2 linked regions of the Tamandua tetradactyla genome follow. The protein of the gene in region 2 purifies or fractionates together with the protein of the main gene of each other region. This does not show direct contact. Links are inferred from orthologs where the notes say so. Each region holds a gene or a part of one and is shown on either strand. Other genes may lie near its edges.

The links.
Region 1: the proteins of SMAD3 (region 2) and RNF111 purify together in Homo sapiens (affinity purification with western blotting; 5 studies listed by BioGRID). This does not show direct contact. The link is inferred for Tamandua tetradactyla from reciprocal best matches to the Homo sapiens genes SMAD3 and RNF111.

Annotation. Positions count from the first base shown.
Region 1 is NC_135340.1:74,777,997-74,785,798, reverse strand, and holds the start of RNF111 (E3 ubiquitin-protein ligase Arkadia), read right to left. Parts: upstream 3,018-7,802; 5' UTR 2,984-3,017; coding exon 2,916-2,983; intron 351-2,915; exon of another isoform or gene 293-350; coding exon of another isoform or gene 252-292; exon of another isoform or gene 246-251; intron 1-245. UniProt on the Homo sapiens protein: E3 ubiquitin-protein ligase. Required for mesoderm patterning during embryonic development. Acts as an enhancer of the transcriptional responses of the SMAD2/SMAD3 effectors, which are activated downstream of BMP.
Region 2 is NC_135340.1:84,248,011-84,254,931, reverse strand, and holds the start of SMAD3 (mothers against decapentaplegic homolog 3), read right to left. Parts: upstream 3,011-6,921; 5' UTR 2,982-3,010; coding exon 2,776-2,981; intron 1-2,775. UniProt on the Homo sapiens protein: Receptor-regulated SMAD (R-SMAD) that is an intracellular signal transducer and transcriptional modulator activated by TGF-beta (transforming growth factor) and activin type 1 receptor kinases.

The DNA.
Region 1 (7,802 bases), about 9.5 Mb from region 2:
GGAGCAGCTAGAAGGAAAAATCTGAGATGATGGTATGGTGGACCATGACAAACTCTGGGATCTGTCCTATAACTACCTGTTGAAGACTGCTTTGAAAACTATTGCTTTTTCCTTTTTTTGCTTTGTACGTATGCTATATTATACAATAAAAAAAGTTTAAAAAGAAAAAAAAAGGCACACCCTAAACAATCCATAGTAGATCCAGTCTCTATCAGATCCTGTTTCATTTTCTTCCCGGCACTTACCACTACCTGAATTTATTCTGTTTATGTCTCCTCACAACAGAGGGCATGCTCCATGAAGGCAGAGTGCTACCTTCACTGATGAATCCCAAAGACCAAGAACATTACCTAAAACATAAAACATTCAATAAATACACACTGAATGACTAAATACTAATGTAGTACCTCTACTTAAAATTTAAGTTCAGGGTGCACGGGTGGTTCAATGGTAGAATGCTTGTCTTCCATGCAGGAGATCCGGGTTCAATTCCCGGACTATGCACCCCCCAAAAAAATTAAGTTCAGCTCAGAATTTGTTTATAAACATGTAGTTCACTCCTCATGCAATGGTACATATCAAGCATCTGCGGAAAACAGGGCCAGTTGTTACCAAGAATCTCTAGGATGCACAAGACAAAGAACAGAGGTATAAAACATCCAAATGCAATTCTGGACTTTTACTGAACAATGATTACAAGTTTCTGAAAGAAAAAACATTCAGGATGATATTAAAGAACATTACTAGGAGTAATATTTGAGGACCCTATTAATGAAGGCTGTTAGAGCATGAGTAGTATCTGCAATAGGACAGTAGTTTCATGTGGAACAACAAACACGGCTTCATCCTAAGTATTTTTCTGATATATATACATAATATGAAGGAATTTATACTCTGAGCATAGAATTTCCTTCTGGGGATTTGATTGTGATGAATACAACAATATATACCAAAAACACCTAACCTTAAAACAAATCTAATAAAGAGATTAGAGAAAACCAGAATTATCTGTCCCAAATTTCTCTTTTTAACAATTGAGAGTGATCTGAAGCCAACAAAGATTAGCAAAACAGTCAAAGGTCTAATGGATAGCAAAACCAGATGTAAAAATCCTGATCTACTGTCTCTCGTCCTATATTCTTTCATAAGACACTGTCCTCTGAGAATAGTGACGTCATTATAATGTATTTTAATTGTTATTATTTTTAGGACTGTCATTTTTTTTTTTCCTATTCGAAGTCTTAGTCCATAGTAATCTTTGATTACTTAGTCCTTAATCAAAGTAAGGGCACATATTATTATGCCTTAAGTAAAATTTGGTTCAATTCAATAAATTTTTCATTCCACATGTTAAAATGTGAGTAAAAATGAAAATAATTCTATTTAAGCGCATTCACTAAAAATTTCTTAGCTTTAGATGTTAAATTGCTGTTCTCTTGTTTTAAATATGAGTATAGCTATTTCCCAATCAGGCGGAAAAATTGAGAATAGACTTACTACCAAAGTGAAAGTCACCAAATCTAGAAATTTCAAGTTATAACCTCTACATAATAAATTTTTCATCAAAACATATTATTTGGATAATACCTTTCTCCAAGATCTAACAGTTTTTAGTGAAAGAATTATGTGGCCAAAAAACACCAAACAAAAGGGAAAAGGTAACAGAAGAAAAAGGATCTACCTAAGACAGAAACTCTACTCTTAAAATTTACCAACAATATTGTTCAAGCCAATTGAAAAACATCCCTCACCAATTCTTAGAATACTACTACAAATATTAAGCGGCAAACAAAAAAATGACCAAGCAGAGATGATAAAGTCATTTGTCCAAGGTTAAATGGCAAGACAGTGTTAGGAACCAAATAAAGGCTTTGTAAAAAAAAAAAAAAAAAAAATCCTATTCAAGACTCTTTTCAGGGTAAAGGGGTTGCTTTCTTCCTATCCCATCTGGTTTGTCCCACAAACGTAGACAAAGACTACTATTTAGTATGAAAAACAACATGTTTTATGTTGACATGAAAATTTTTAGTAAGGATTGTAAACTATAGAAACGTAGATCTTCATCTCTAATTAAGCCAGGTAAAACCCGTATTGTAGAGCTTCTAGGTAACATCAAAATCACATTCTAGCATATGAATGCAATGACATAAAAGACAAAAATGGCAAAGGCTAAGATAAGGTAAGGCAACATTAGGCTTATCTTTTCCCCATCCTGTACTTTTTGGTTGAAGAGGCCCGTAAAACAAGAAAAGTATAAAATATCAAGCGAAATAAACTTTGAAGTCAGGTTGAAAAGCAGTAAGAACTCATATAAAACGAAGCCTATGTCAGCTTGTATCTTATCACTCAAGAGTTCTAAATTCATAGTGCACGTAAACCAAGAAACAGGAAAGCTTACAACAGTGCAGTGGAGTCACCCCATACTACAAACACCAACAAAATAAATGAACACCCTATACTTCCTGGTATTTTTTAAACGTTAAAAATTACCCTTGCTTTAAGAAGCATCTGCAAAAATCTACCAAAACCTATTTTAAAACTATTGTGGGAAAATCTCTCATCCTGCAATACAGAATAGGTATGTCCACTATAGCACAGCTACTGACTCTGGTAAATTATCTAAGGGCAATAATAAAAAAAATCAAGCTTCTTTTTTAATGATCTACAAGTCAACTCCACACAAATATCTGACGCGTCTGTATTTCGGCTGTTCCACGGACTATGTTTCCTTGATCTCACAAGAAGGCAACTCCCTAATCGGCAGGGTTGACCTAGCGCCCTCCAACTCCCTCAGTCCAGGTTACCTTCATCACTCCATTGTCAAATTGTACTCTCACGCCTCAGTCAAGAGCCCCCATCATAAGACTAGGGAGAGTCAAAAAAGGAAAGAAATCCCCTCATCCATACTCCCTTACTCTGGGGTGTGGGTGTGTCTGTACACATACGCTTTGCCCGAATCCAAACTCAGACCCCAGGCCACCATCCCGCGGGCAACAACCCGCCGGTCGCCGACCCCAGCCGCAGCCCTTCCTCTTTCTCGCCTCCTGGGCAGCCCCTCCCCCGATGCGCGCACGCGCGGCCTCCAATCGATCCCCTCCCCCCGGCCCCTCACCTTAGTCATTAGCCACCCTCTTCCCAGGGTCCGGGAATCACTGGCCCAGGAAAGAAGACAGGAGATGTGAGGGGGGAAGGGAATGCGTCGAGAGCTAGCGATCCGCGACTCAGATCTCGGCCTAAATAGGCCCCTGTAGCCAAGAGCAGCGTCTGTCACCGCCACCAAAACTGTAAGACCGGCAATGCCTGGGCTCGGCCCAGTCAACCCGGCTTGGGTTTAGAATGCCTGATTTCGCCCCAGAGAAACTCCTTCTCCAAAGATGCGGGCGTTTCTATGCTGCGCAAATCGAGGACCTCGATACCATCGCCGCCACTGCTGCTGCTCCACTACCGCTGCCGCCGCCGCCTAACCAATCCCTCCTCTACAGAACGAGAACGACACTTGGGTCCTTTACGACAGTTCGGAAAGTGAGAGCGCAATAGCCTTCACGGCTCCATTAATAGCGCTTGTTTCTGCGCTTGCTCAGATTCTTGTTTCCCACTGTCCCGCCCCCTTGCCCCGCCCCTCCCCCTTTGTAATCACTTTACCAGTCTGTTGGCGAAACCGAACGTGTCACAAAGCTCATTATTTTATTTTCCTTGGTGATTGTGTGTTCAATACCTAGGTAAATTTTTTACTACCTCTTTGATAAATCTTTTGTAACTAAAAATTGGACTAGCCACAAAATTATTGACTATACCTACGGTACACTTAAAAACAGCATGGTTTGGTGTCTTTCACGACCCGTGATATCCAAATCATCCGCGCTAATGGCATAAAGACCACGCACAGCACCTCACTGTGCGAATTATTAAGGCGAATTTGTTTCCGGAATCAGATTAACAGTGGTAATAAACGTCCTGGGAACCTGGCTGTAGCTGTACAATCACATAAGCCTTTTTATTTAATTATCTTATAAAATGAATAGATAGCACATGCTTCATTATGTGCACTTGGAGGATGTAGGGAAAGAGCACCAACTTAGAGTCAATCAGACAGACTTCCCCTTCAAATTTCAATGATGCCACTTAACAGCTGTTTGGTTTATTAAATATTTGTAAATCTTAGTTTCCTTCGTTATAAATTGGGATAGCATTATTTACCTCAAAGGGTTCGTGTGAGATTAAATGAGACAGTTTAATTAATGTCCCTAATATTACTTACCAGTTAAATGTTCAATAAACATTAATTCCTTTGCCATCAACTCATCTTTCTCAATACCCTTTCCTTTGTTCACTCATGTTGTCCATATTGCTCAGTGAAGATATCTTTAAAAAAGGGGGGGGCAGCAGATGTGTAGGGAAACTAGAAGAGCAATGGACTAGGATTCTTCCTTAATCCTCTTATTTTCTCACTCTAAATACACATTTTTGTCTGAACTTTGAAAATTTTTTCAAATGTGAACAAAAATACACATTTTTGTCTAAATACAACTATTTAGTTTAGTTGTCTGAACTAAAACATGGTTTTAACTGTTAATGCCTCATGATTTCTCCAACCCATATGTACAGCCCTAATCTTTCATCTAAAGCTTTAGACCTGCACTCTCTAATATGGCTGTTGAACTCTTAAAATTGATCTAGTACAAACTGAAAAGTGCTGTAAGTGGAAATTTTACATCCAATTCCACGATGTAAAGTAGATTATTTTTAGAAGACTGTAAAATATCCCACTAATTTCTTATAATGAGTACATGTTGAAATAATATTTTGGATATGCTGGGTTAAATCAGTGGTTCTCAACTGGGAACAATCCTTGCTCACCACTCTCCACTCCCATCCACCCCACCCCCACATCATTTGGCAATGTTGGACATTTTCTGTTTGTCACAACCAGGGGAGATTGAGGGGAATGCAACTAACATCTAGTGGGTAGAGGCTAGGGATGCTGCTATGCATTCTGTAATTCACAGGGCAGCCCCCCAAAACAAATTATCATCTGGTCCAAAATGTCAGTAGTAACCAGATTGAGAAATCTTAATGGTTTAGAAAAGATTGAGCAATGAAGTTAGACAGAGACAAGTATCTTTTCATGAAATTGATAGTAAATGGAAGAATAAAGACAGACACATCTAACAGAATATGGAGTCAGAGAGGCACGATTTGAATCCTATTGGCCTGCTTAAGGGAAAGAGCCAGTAGAAAAGAGAGGTGAAAGATAATAGAAATAAAGGAATGCTCAAAGGAGAAAAATCCCTATAGAGGCAGAGAAACGGGATTCAAAGCTCAGGTGGAAGAATTAGCCATGAATGGAAGGGCCACCCCTTCCACTGAGACAGTTTAGTTTTGGGGGGCAAATTGAGGGCTTTCGGATAGATTGACCTTGATTTTCTCTATGAAACATGAGGTAAGGCCATCTGCTAAGATTTCACGTTTGGAAATGGCTGAGTGGTCAGATGAAGACAGGGAAGACAGTAAGTATATGGGCAACAAATCAAGGGCAGGAAACCCAGAGTAGAAACACAGTAAGACTATGAGAGAACAGGTGCCAAAAAGTTGTATTTAGAGATATAATAGCTAATTGTAGGGGTCAGAGATATCGCTAATCTGAAATGGACACAATATTTTCCTGATTTCTCTGTTTCTGCTCCTTCCATTATCACCAAATGAACTACAGACCATTGTCAAAATGTTGGAAAAACTGATCAAGACACTAATTTGCTTAAAATCCTTCAGGAACCCTCTGTCTTCTTTAGAATACAGTCCTAAATAGCTTGCCAAATAAAGTATTCAAAATCTAAAATCTCACTGCCATTTCACATCACCGCTGTCACCAGCCTACACTCCTGCCCTTACTTATACTTGAGCAGACTTTTCAGACTTCCTGTAGATCTTAGAAAAAATGTACTGTTTCATTTCCCGCTGCCTTTGTACTGACCGTTCTTTCTGCATCAAAGCACTCTACCCCATTCCTCTTCATCCCCCACCTGCTTTATCTGCCTAGCAAACTCTTATCCATTCCTCAAAACCCTCCCCCATGAAATAGGAACACTCATACACTGTTAGTGGGAATATAAAGTGCAGTCACTGTGAAAAACAGTTTGCAGTTCCTCAGATTGTTAAAAACAGTACTACCATATGGCCTGGTAATCCCACTTATAGGTATATACCACAAAAGAATTGAAAGCAAGGACTTGAGTAAATATTTGCACTCTGATGTTGATAGCAGCATTATTCACAATTTCCAAAAAAATCTGTGTCCTACAACAGATGAATAATAATTCATCTAATCATGAATAGTATATTTTAAAAGTGTAATATATACATTCAATGGAACATTATTCAACCATAAAAAATGAAGTTCTGATGCATGCAGCAACATGGATGAACGTTTAAGACATCATCATGCTAAGTTAAATAAGCCAGTTACAAAAGGACAAATATTATATGATCTCATTGATTTGAAATAATTAGAATACGCAGATTCATAGTTTCAGAAATTACCATACAGGAGACGGAGTCCAAAGTGAGAGTGGAGAATGGGGAGTTAATGATTAATTGGTAGAGTTTCTGTTTGGATTGATAGAAAAGCTCGGTAAAAAATGGTGGGGACGGTAGTACAACTTTGTGAATGTAATTAACACCACTGAATTGTATATTTGAAAGTGGTTAAAATGGAAAATTTGAGTTTGTTTATATGTTAAAAAATAAAAAATTTTAAAAAACTCATAGAACTGTACAACACAAAGAGTGAACCCTAAAGAAAACTGTGGACTATAGTTAATAGTATAAGCATAATAATGTCTCATCAGCTGTAACAAAGGTACCACACTAATGCAAATGCTAATAAGGAAAACTGTGTGGGAGTGTATATAGGAAGTTTTTACTTTTTGCCTGATTTTTTTGTAAACCTAAAACTGATCTAATAAAAAAAAATTATTTTAAGTGAAACAAAAAAGTCTGTGGCAATGGTGACACAGTGGCAGAGTTCTCGCCTACCATGCTGGAGACCAGGCTTCGATTCGCAGTGCCTGCCCATGAAAAAAAAAAAAAAAGTCCTTCTCCATGAAGCATTTCCTTGCCACTTTCCCCACCCTGAGGTAGTTAATAATCACTCCCAGTCCCATACCCTCTTCAATCTTGGTATATCCTTCTATTGTAAACAGTATAAATTTTATATACAACTGTCTCTTCCAAAAAAAACTAAAACCAAGAAAATTTGTCTTTTTATCCTTGTAGAAGAAGAGCACTCAATAAATTTTTTAATGAACTGAACAAGGAGACCGGGGTTCAGTTTTGCCACTAAAAAACTAGGAATCCTTCATTTTAATTAAATCATTTGAACTCTCTGAAAATTAATTTTACTCATCTGTGGAAAGATCAGGGGGATCCAACACATTCTTCAAACCAAATTTTGCCTACCTGACATGCAGCAAAATAATATTTACCAAATTAGCCTGCATACAGGGAGTGACAATGCCTAACTACCTGTTACGCAGGAATTTGAGGAGTTGGGTCCAAACGTGAAAATGCTAAGCTGAATTAATGGGTCACCTGCAATAAAAGGATAAAAGGACAATTTTTACAAATCACTTATATCAAAAGGGAGGATTGGTATCCCCACCATCCACTGCAAACTTCAAAACTGTATAAAGTTTGCAAGTTAGGGCAACTTACTATGTTGCCAGCTTTGTGAACTCTTTGGAAGAACATGAAGCAAAGTTTGCAGATTTAACGCAATGAGTTAAGTGAATCTTGAGAACTTGTTG
Region 2 (6,921 bases):
GAGAAAGGAGCATGTGTTCTGGAAGCCTCTAGCATACGGCTATAATTGCCAAACGCTGTGGCTGCTCGCGATTACACATTAGCCAAAGTATGCTTGTCATAATCCCCTTGGTCTGAGGGCTCCTTCAACCCCGGGCCCAGATGGCAGAGTGTGCCCCCACAAGCGGGATGACCAGGTTAAACAGTTCCCCTTGTCTACTTTCCAAAGCCCGAGTTTGAAGAGGCTACGTGAAAAACGCAGACAAGTTGACAAGCAGCTCCACCGTCTAAGGGGCTTAGCAGACACTCCAGTATCACTAGCACGAGGCCGCCAGCCACCTACCCAAGACGTGGCCTTTAGTTTTCTGCCCACGACCAAAACAGCAGTAGCTGTTGCCAAGGGAAACAAGGTGACCCAGAGACGCGGGCATGAAATCCGCGGATGGAAATCCATTCTGTCTGGATCCAACCAAGAAACTGGGCTTCCCTAACTGGGAAAGGATAAACAATAAAAATAAAAAAAAAATAAAATAAAAAAGTACCTTAGCAATAGATCCTTGCCAGGCAGGTAAAAGGTGCCCCAGTCCTTAAGAAGGAAAAAGCTCAGGAGCAGGTTAGCCCGAACTACCAAGTGTTGACACGGCTCAGCTTTGGAGGGCTTTGGAAAAAGAAAAGGCAGGCCAGAGCTATGCCTCTCCAGAGGACAAACTCTCACCAAGGCAAGAGAAAGCCAGGCTGCTTCTCCAAACTGCAACCTGCCCGAAGATTAAACACGAGCACCCTTATTAAAGGAAGCACCAACCCCCCTTCAGTCCCCCCACCCCCCACGTACACGCATAACAGTGATTTAAGCATTCTGCAAATAATTTATTCAGAACCTTCAGAGTACAAGGCAGCAAAAGAGCACCAGATATCTTTGCCCACTATGTCAAACCTTTTCACCTTTCTCCTCCAAAGTTTTCTCAACTTTAAAAATGAGAATCTTAAGCATAACTGCTTTATCTATTTTCCAGAGGGTTCTTTCTCCGAGAACCTCATAAAACCATGTGAAAGTGCTTTGTAAATTGTGAAACACTTTATATAGCTGCTTGTTGTTACAACTGACATCATTTCTCTGCTGTAGCCCATAAAGCATTTGTCCTTGATGTACCTCCACAAGTAAGGAGAAAGCAGGTTTTGCAGACCCCTCTCTAGGTCGGGGAAGGATGATATCTAATCCCATCAGAGGAATAAAGAGGAATTAAAAAACCAGAGCTGAGGCCAGAACCCAGGTGGCTCTGATCATCACATCACACCACCTCCTCTGAAGTCAATTCTAACTTCCAATCACACACCCAGAGCGCACTTCCAGACAGCACACCGCCTTCCCTCCCCCTTTACTGACTGGATCCACCCAGTTTTTTTAAAAAAATTATTATTTTTAAAGTCAGCACTCCCACCATATGTGGCATTTATTTCCAAAGGAGGCCTGTCCTGGGTTCCCTTGGACAGATGTTGCTTTGTGCCTGCCTGACCCGGCTGGCAGCCCCTGCACAGCTGCCCCAAGCAGGTGGCCAAGGATGGAGTCCACTCCAGGCCCAGGAGCAAGGATGAAAATCCCTCCCAGAATCAGGCCCTGGGGCTCCTCAACTTGTTCCTCTGCACTCCACTCCCTTGGCCTTGGTTCAGAATAAGATTTCAAAGGGGTCTGGGAGGGAGAGACAGGAGGCCAAGGTGGCCCCCAGCACCCCATCCCAATTCCCAGCCTAGCATAGATAAAGGGAAGGTCGTGGGGAGAGGAGAGAAGTCACTGACCCCTTTCTATCAGCCATCTGTGAGCTCCCGCCCGACCCAGCTTGCCCGATGCGGGGGATAAAGGAGGTCCAAACAGATGGCAAAGCGCTTTGGGAAGGAGGGCTCTGCAGGAATGCGAGGGCCGATGGAGGCCCACTTCGGGTTGCGTTCTGTTATCTGACCGGCTCTAGCCCGCTCTGTGTTCTGCTTCACCCCGCAATCTCAGACTGAAAAGGAGAGCAAAAGCAGTCCGGGATGGGAGAGGGTAGGACAGGAAGCCCCTACTCTCTGCCACTTGTCTCTCCCATTTGAAAGTCAGAGCACTGCACTGCAACTTAAAAGTGCATGCTTGCGGAGGGGGCGGGAGGCTGGCACAACCGAGTCTAAAAATACTCGATAAAAATGCTAATCCCGAAGGCAAAGAGAGAACGAAGAAGGAATCTGTCAATCACGAGGCTCCCGCTCCTCACCCACAGCCCCAGCTGTACGGACTACATTCCTGTTAAGCAGGAAAGAAGAGGGGGCACAGGACTGAGGGGAAGAAAGGGAGAGACACCACCACCTCCACGAGCGCGGGCCGCGGGGCGGGAGGCGGCGGCGGTGGCGGCGGAGGAGGGGCTCGGGCCCGCCGAGCCGAACAAAGCGGGCCTCAACTTCCAGCCCGCAGCAATCCGGGGTGGGGGCGGTCAACGCCAGCAGCCCCACCCCCACCCCAACCCCTACTTTCTGAGCGGCGAAAAGCGCACGTGAAGTCTGGAAGCGAGAGTGCCGTTTGAAAGCATTTCTGAATAACTGCAAATTCAGAGAGGGTTTTGCTTGGGGGTCCCCCATCCCACCCCCCTCCTGTCCGCGCTCTCGCTCCCCCCCCCCACACACACATACACACACATACACACACACACACACACACACACACACACACACACACACACACACACACCATGCCTCTCCAAACCCACAGAGCCGGCCTCTCCGCGCCAGGGGGCTGGGCCCGGCGCGCCCCCCAGGCCCCCCAAGCCCCCACCTGGGGATGGTGATGCACTTGGTGTTGACGCTCTGCGTGGTGATGGCCTTCTCCAGCTCGTCCAGCTGCCCCGTCTTCTTGAGCTTCTTGACGAGGCTCTTGACCGCCTTCTCGCACCACTTCTCCTCCTGCCCGTTCTGCTCGCCCTTCTTCCAGCCCAGCAGGCGCTTCACGATCGGGGGGGTGAAGGGCAGGATGGACGACATGGCTGAGGGGAGGCTGGGTGGGGGTCAGGGCGCGGGCGGCGAGGGGCGCCCCCGGCGGGGCTGGGCGCGGCGGGACGCCGGGGGCGCAGAGGGGAGCTCTGCCCGGCCGGCCGCGGCCGCCCAAACTTCTCCTCAACTCCGGGCGAACTTTCTGGTGCGCCGGGCTGGGCCGCGCGGCGCTGCAGCCGGCGGGACTCGGCGTGCGCCCCAAGCGGCTCCCACGGCTGGCAGAAGGGGAAGGAGGCGGGCAGGAGGACGGCAGCGGCGCCGGGTCGGGCAGGCCCCGAACGCCGGGCGGAGGAATCGGCCTGGAGACTCGAGTGGCTGAAAAAAGTTTGGGTTTCCGCACGGGGTGGCTGTTTGGGTGCCGCCTCCGGGAAGGAAAAGTCCGACCCCTGAGCCAAACTTTGCTCTCCTCGCCGGCTCTGACGCGCAAATCCCTCGGTCTCTCGCGCCTCGCCTCCCCAGTTTCCCTCCTCCTCCCTGCTCGCTCGTTCGCTCGCTCGCTCGCTGGGCCGGCCCGGTGCGTGCGCCGCGCTCCCGCTCCCGCCCGCTCCCAGTCTGTGTTTCATGCAAATCCGCGTGCAGCCTCCTTTCCAAACGCTGTCACCGCCCCCTCGCCGCTGGGGCTCCCCGCCTCCTTCTCCGCGCCCCGCCGCCTTCTCCCCCGGGCGCCCTGCCCGCCCCTGGCTCGGGGAGGGCTGCCGGCCTGCCCCCGCCCCGCGCCGAGCAGGCCCACGTGGGCGGCCGGGGACCGCGGCGGCCCGGGGCTGGAGCGCGCGGCAGTCCGCGCGGCCCCGACCCGAGGTCGGGCGGGCGCGGGTAGGAAGTCGTGGGAAAGGAACAAGAGGGGGCCCTAGGCGGGAGGGCCGTGGCGTCCGCTCTTGGAACCCTCTCCCGGGAAGCTCAAATGAAGTTGCGGCCGGGGGAGGAGTAGACCCGCTTCAAGTTAGCGCCGTCTGGCCCGGGGCTGGCGATGCACCCCTGGAGACCCGGGCCCGAGAGGGGGCGCACTTAAGGCTGAGGCCGGCGAAGTCAGGACGTGCACTAGGCCAGCCAGGCTGACCACGGTCGGGGGCCTCGCAGGCAGGCTGGGAACTTCTAAAATTCACTCACGGGTTCGGTCACCCCGGGTGAGAGCCCTAAGCCTGTGTGCGGAGGCGGTAGTTGAGGGGGGTAGAAGATGACTCTTGCAAGTGGAGATTTGGGGAACCCAGTGACTCCCTAGGCTCTATCAGGAGCCAGGGATTCCTTGCACCCTGTGAACCAAGTGCCAGACAGAAAATGGGTTTCAAAGACATGTATCGAGTACATGAAGGAGTGAATGGGGGCGCTTTGAAATTTAGTTTTGATATAAAAAAAAAAAAAGTACACATTACAGGTCGTTGTGAGCTCTTATGATAGAGAAAAAAAAAAGATCTGAAATTCGACACCCAATAAATAGAGGGTGAAAGAGCTTTGTTTCCAAAGCCTGAAGTCATAAGAAGTGGGGCAAATGGGGAGTACTCCAGAAGTTTATGTGTTCAGAGTTAGCCTTAGTGGAAAGCAGAGAAATACCGGAGGTATTGGAGAGACCTGGGGTTTTTCTCCTCACCAGCAGAATTCAGGGGCCTCTGACCACAGACCCCTCAGCTGCTTTCAGGAGTTACCCCGGTTCCCCAAGGCTATCTCCTTCTGTGCTTCCCCTATCAGGCTCATAGCCTTTGTTTGTTTTTAACAGCAGGAAACCCCCGTGGTGAGAAAAAAAAAAGTTAGCGGCAAACCCTCAAGCAGGTGGGGAGTTACAAAGCCCAGCGAGGTGTGGCCGAATCCTCAAAGTCAGCCCAAGAGCTGCGGGTTCCGCAAGCCGGTCAGCAGCTGCTCCTGAGCTCTACACTCTTGCCCCCCCTCCTCCCTACTCCCCACCTGCTTGGAGAAGCCCTGAGCTCCCAACTGAGGCTTTGCAGCCTGGTTCACATTGCTGGCTGGCCCTCCTGCTAACCCTGTGACAATCACTGTCCTCTTAGGTTCCACTCCCTCGTTCTCAGCCCTCAGTTTCCCCATACAAAAAGAGAAGGAAGGCAATCAGCCTTTACTGATTGCTTTCTTCATTCCAGGTGACTCAAGAGCTACCCTCTGATTTAATAATCTTCACAATTTACAGAACCAGAACTGGAAGCACAGAGAGATGACAATGCTTGCACAGGGTTCCAAACTACAGAGCTGGGATTTGAAGCCCAGGCTTTGTGAGGCCTCAGTCCGCATTCTTTAGCTGCCTTGCAGAGTGGTGGAAGAAAGCGACATCATTGATAGAGCTCTTTGCAAAACAAAAGTCCTTTACACAGGTGCACTGTTGTGACACCGCAAGAAATATTTGCTTACCTACAAAATGGGATTAGAAATAGCTTTCCGCTCAACCTCCTAGGAAGGTTGTGGGAATCTAATGTAAATTGCAAAGGGTCAAGTGTCATAAAGGAGTAGAACTGACATCTTGGGGCCTTTGCGAACGCCTTCAGAATGGTGTGGATGAGGGAGTCCAGTTCAGTAAGATAAGCATTTATTTGGCCCCTCAGTGTTGCAGTCCTTCTACTCAGTTCTGAAATGTGGAAATGAAAGTAAGGGTCCCTAACTTCAGGGAGCTCATGGTCTAGAGAAGCATGAGGAGTGAGGAGTTCCTTAGTTGGCAAGGATGGGCAAAAGGGAGGCCTTTGCAATAACCATCTCCCAGGAAAATGTTCATTTTAACCTGGCATCAAATCAAACAGGTCTGACTATTGAGAGGCAGCCAGGTAAAGTGAAAGGAGCTGAGGCTCCATCATCCACTAACCTGGTTTTGGATCCTGGCTCTCTCTCTCTCCCTTTACTGAGTGTCCGTTCTCTGAGCTGTAAGAATGGAGCAAACAGTACTTGCTGTGCAGAGGATCTGAACATGGTAGAAGGGCCTGACATGAACCTACCCCTTCTGGGAGCTCCCTCTAAAATCACAGCATCAGAAGGGGCCCTCGTTCAGCCATTTTTTCATTTTCCTGAGAGGAGGAAAAAACTACTGGATAGCTAGTTAGTGTGGCTGAACCGTGCATGCTTCCCTGTGCTTCCTCCCTCAACATGCCGGCATCCGTATGACAGGGACAGCTGCTGTGCATGCAGAAAAACAGTCCTGGACTGTGTGAGTCCAAGTGAGGCTTCTGGGCTCGTTCTTTCTGCCCTGGCCTCAGGTTCTCAGAGTTGGGAGAATAAGTCCGGTTTCACCTGGTGCTGAGCAGGGGTTAAGAATTGATTCCCCCTAGTATGAAGAGGACCTTGCGTGCTCTCTTTGCTTTTGGTGGGGATGGGTGGGTGGCTCTGGACGGTTGGGAACTCCGTTCTGGCGCCTGGACTCCAGGGGCCCAGCCAGGCCTGCTTTTGCAAAGGTCATCCTTGGAAGAGAAACATTAGCCCAGTTAATTTTTCATCATGGTCAGTGCAAAGTTCAAGAGAGGTGGGATGGGGGTGGAGGCAGCGACTCTGTTTCCCTGGGAATGGTTAGTCCTATCAGGGAGGAACTTCATAAGTAGACGTGCCAAAAGGTTTTCATGTATTTGGAGTGGCTCCCAGGTGGAACACTGGAAAGAAAAACTGACTTCGATTCTGATTATTTTTTCCATTAGCCAAAGGGTATTTATCAACAGATTATGAATCTAGAAAGAGCATTAGAATCACTCTCCTCCAGTGCAAGCCCCTCCTTTTACACAGATGGAAAGTGACATCTGGTGAAGAGAGATGATTTGCTCTATGGAGGTGAGTAGCCAGCTCAGGAGTAGAACTTTCATCAGGCTGCTAGGACCTCACCTAAGAAAGCCTCTGTCTGCAGCCTGACCTCTCTCTACAGCCCACTGTAGCACTTTGTGAGCTCTCCTAGGGCCCCAAACAGATGTGTATTACATACACTTCTAGCTCTGTCCCTTCTAGCTCTGTGATTTGG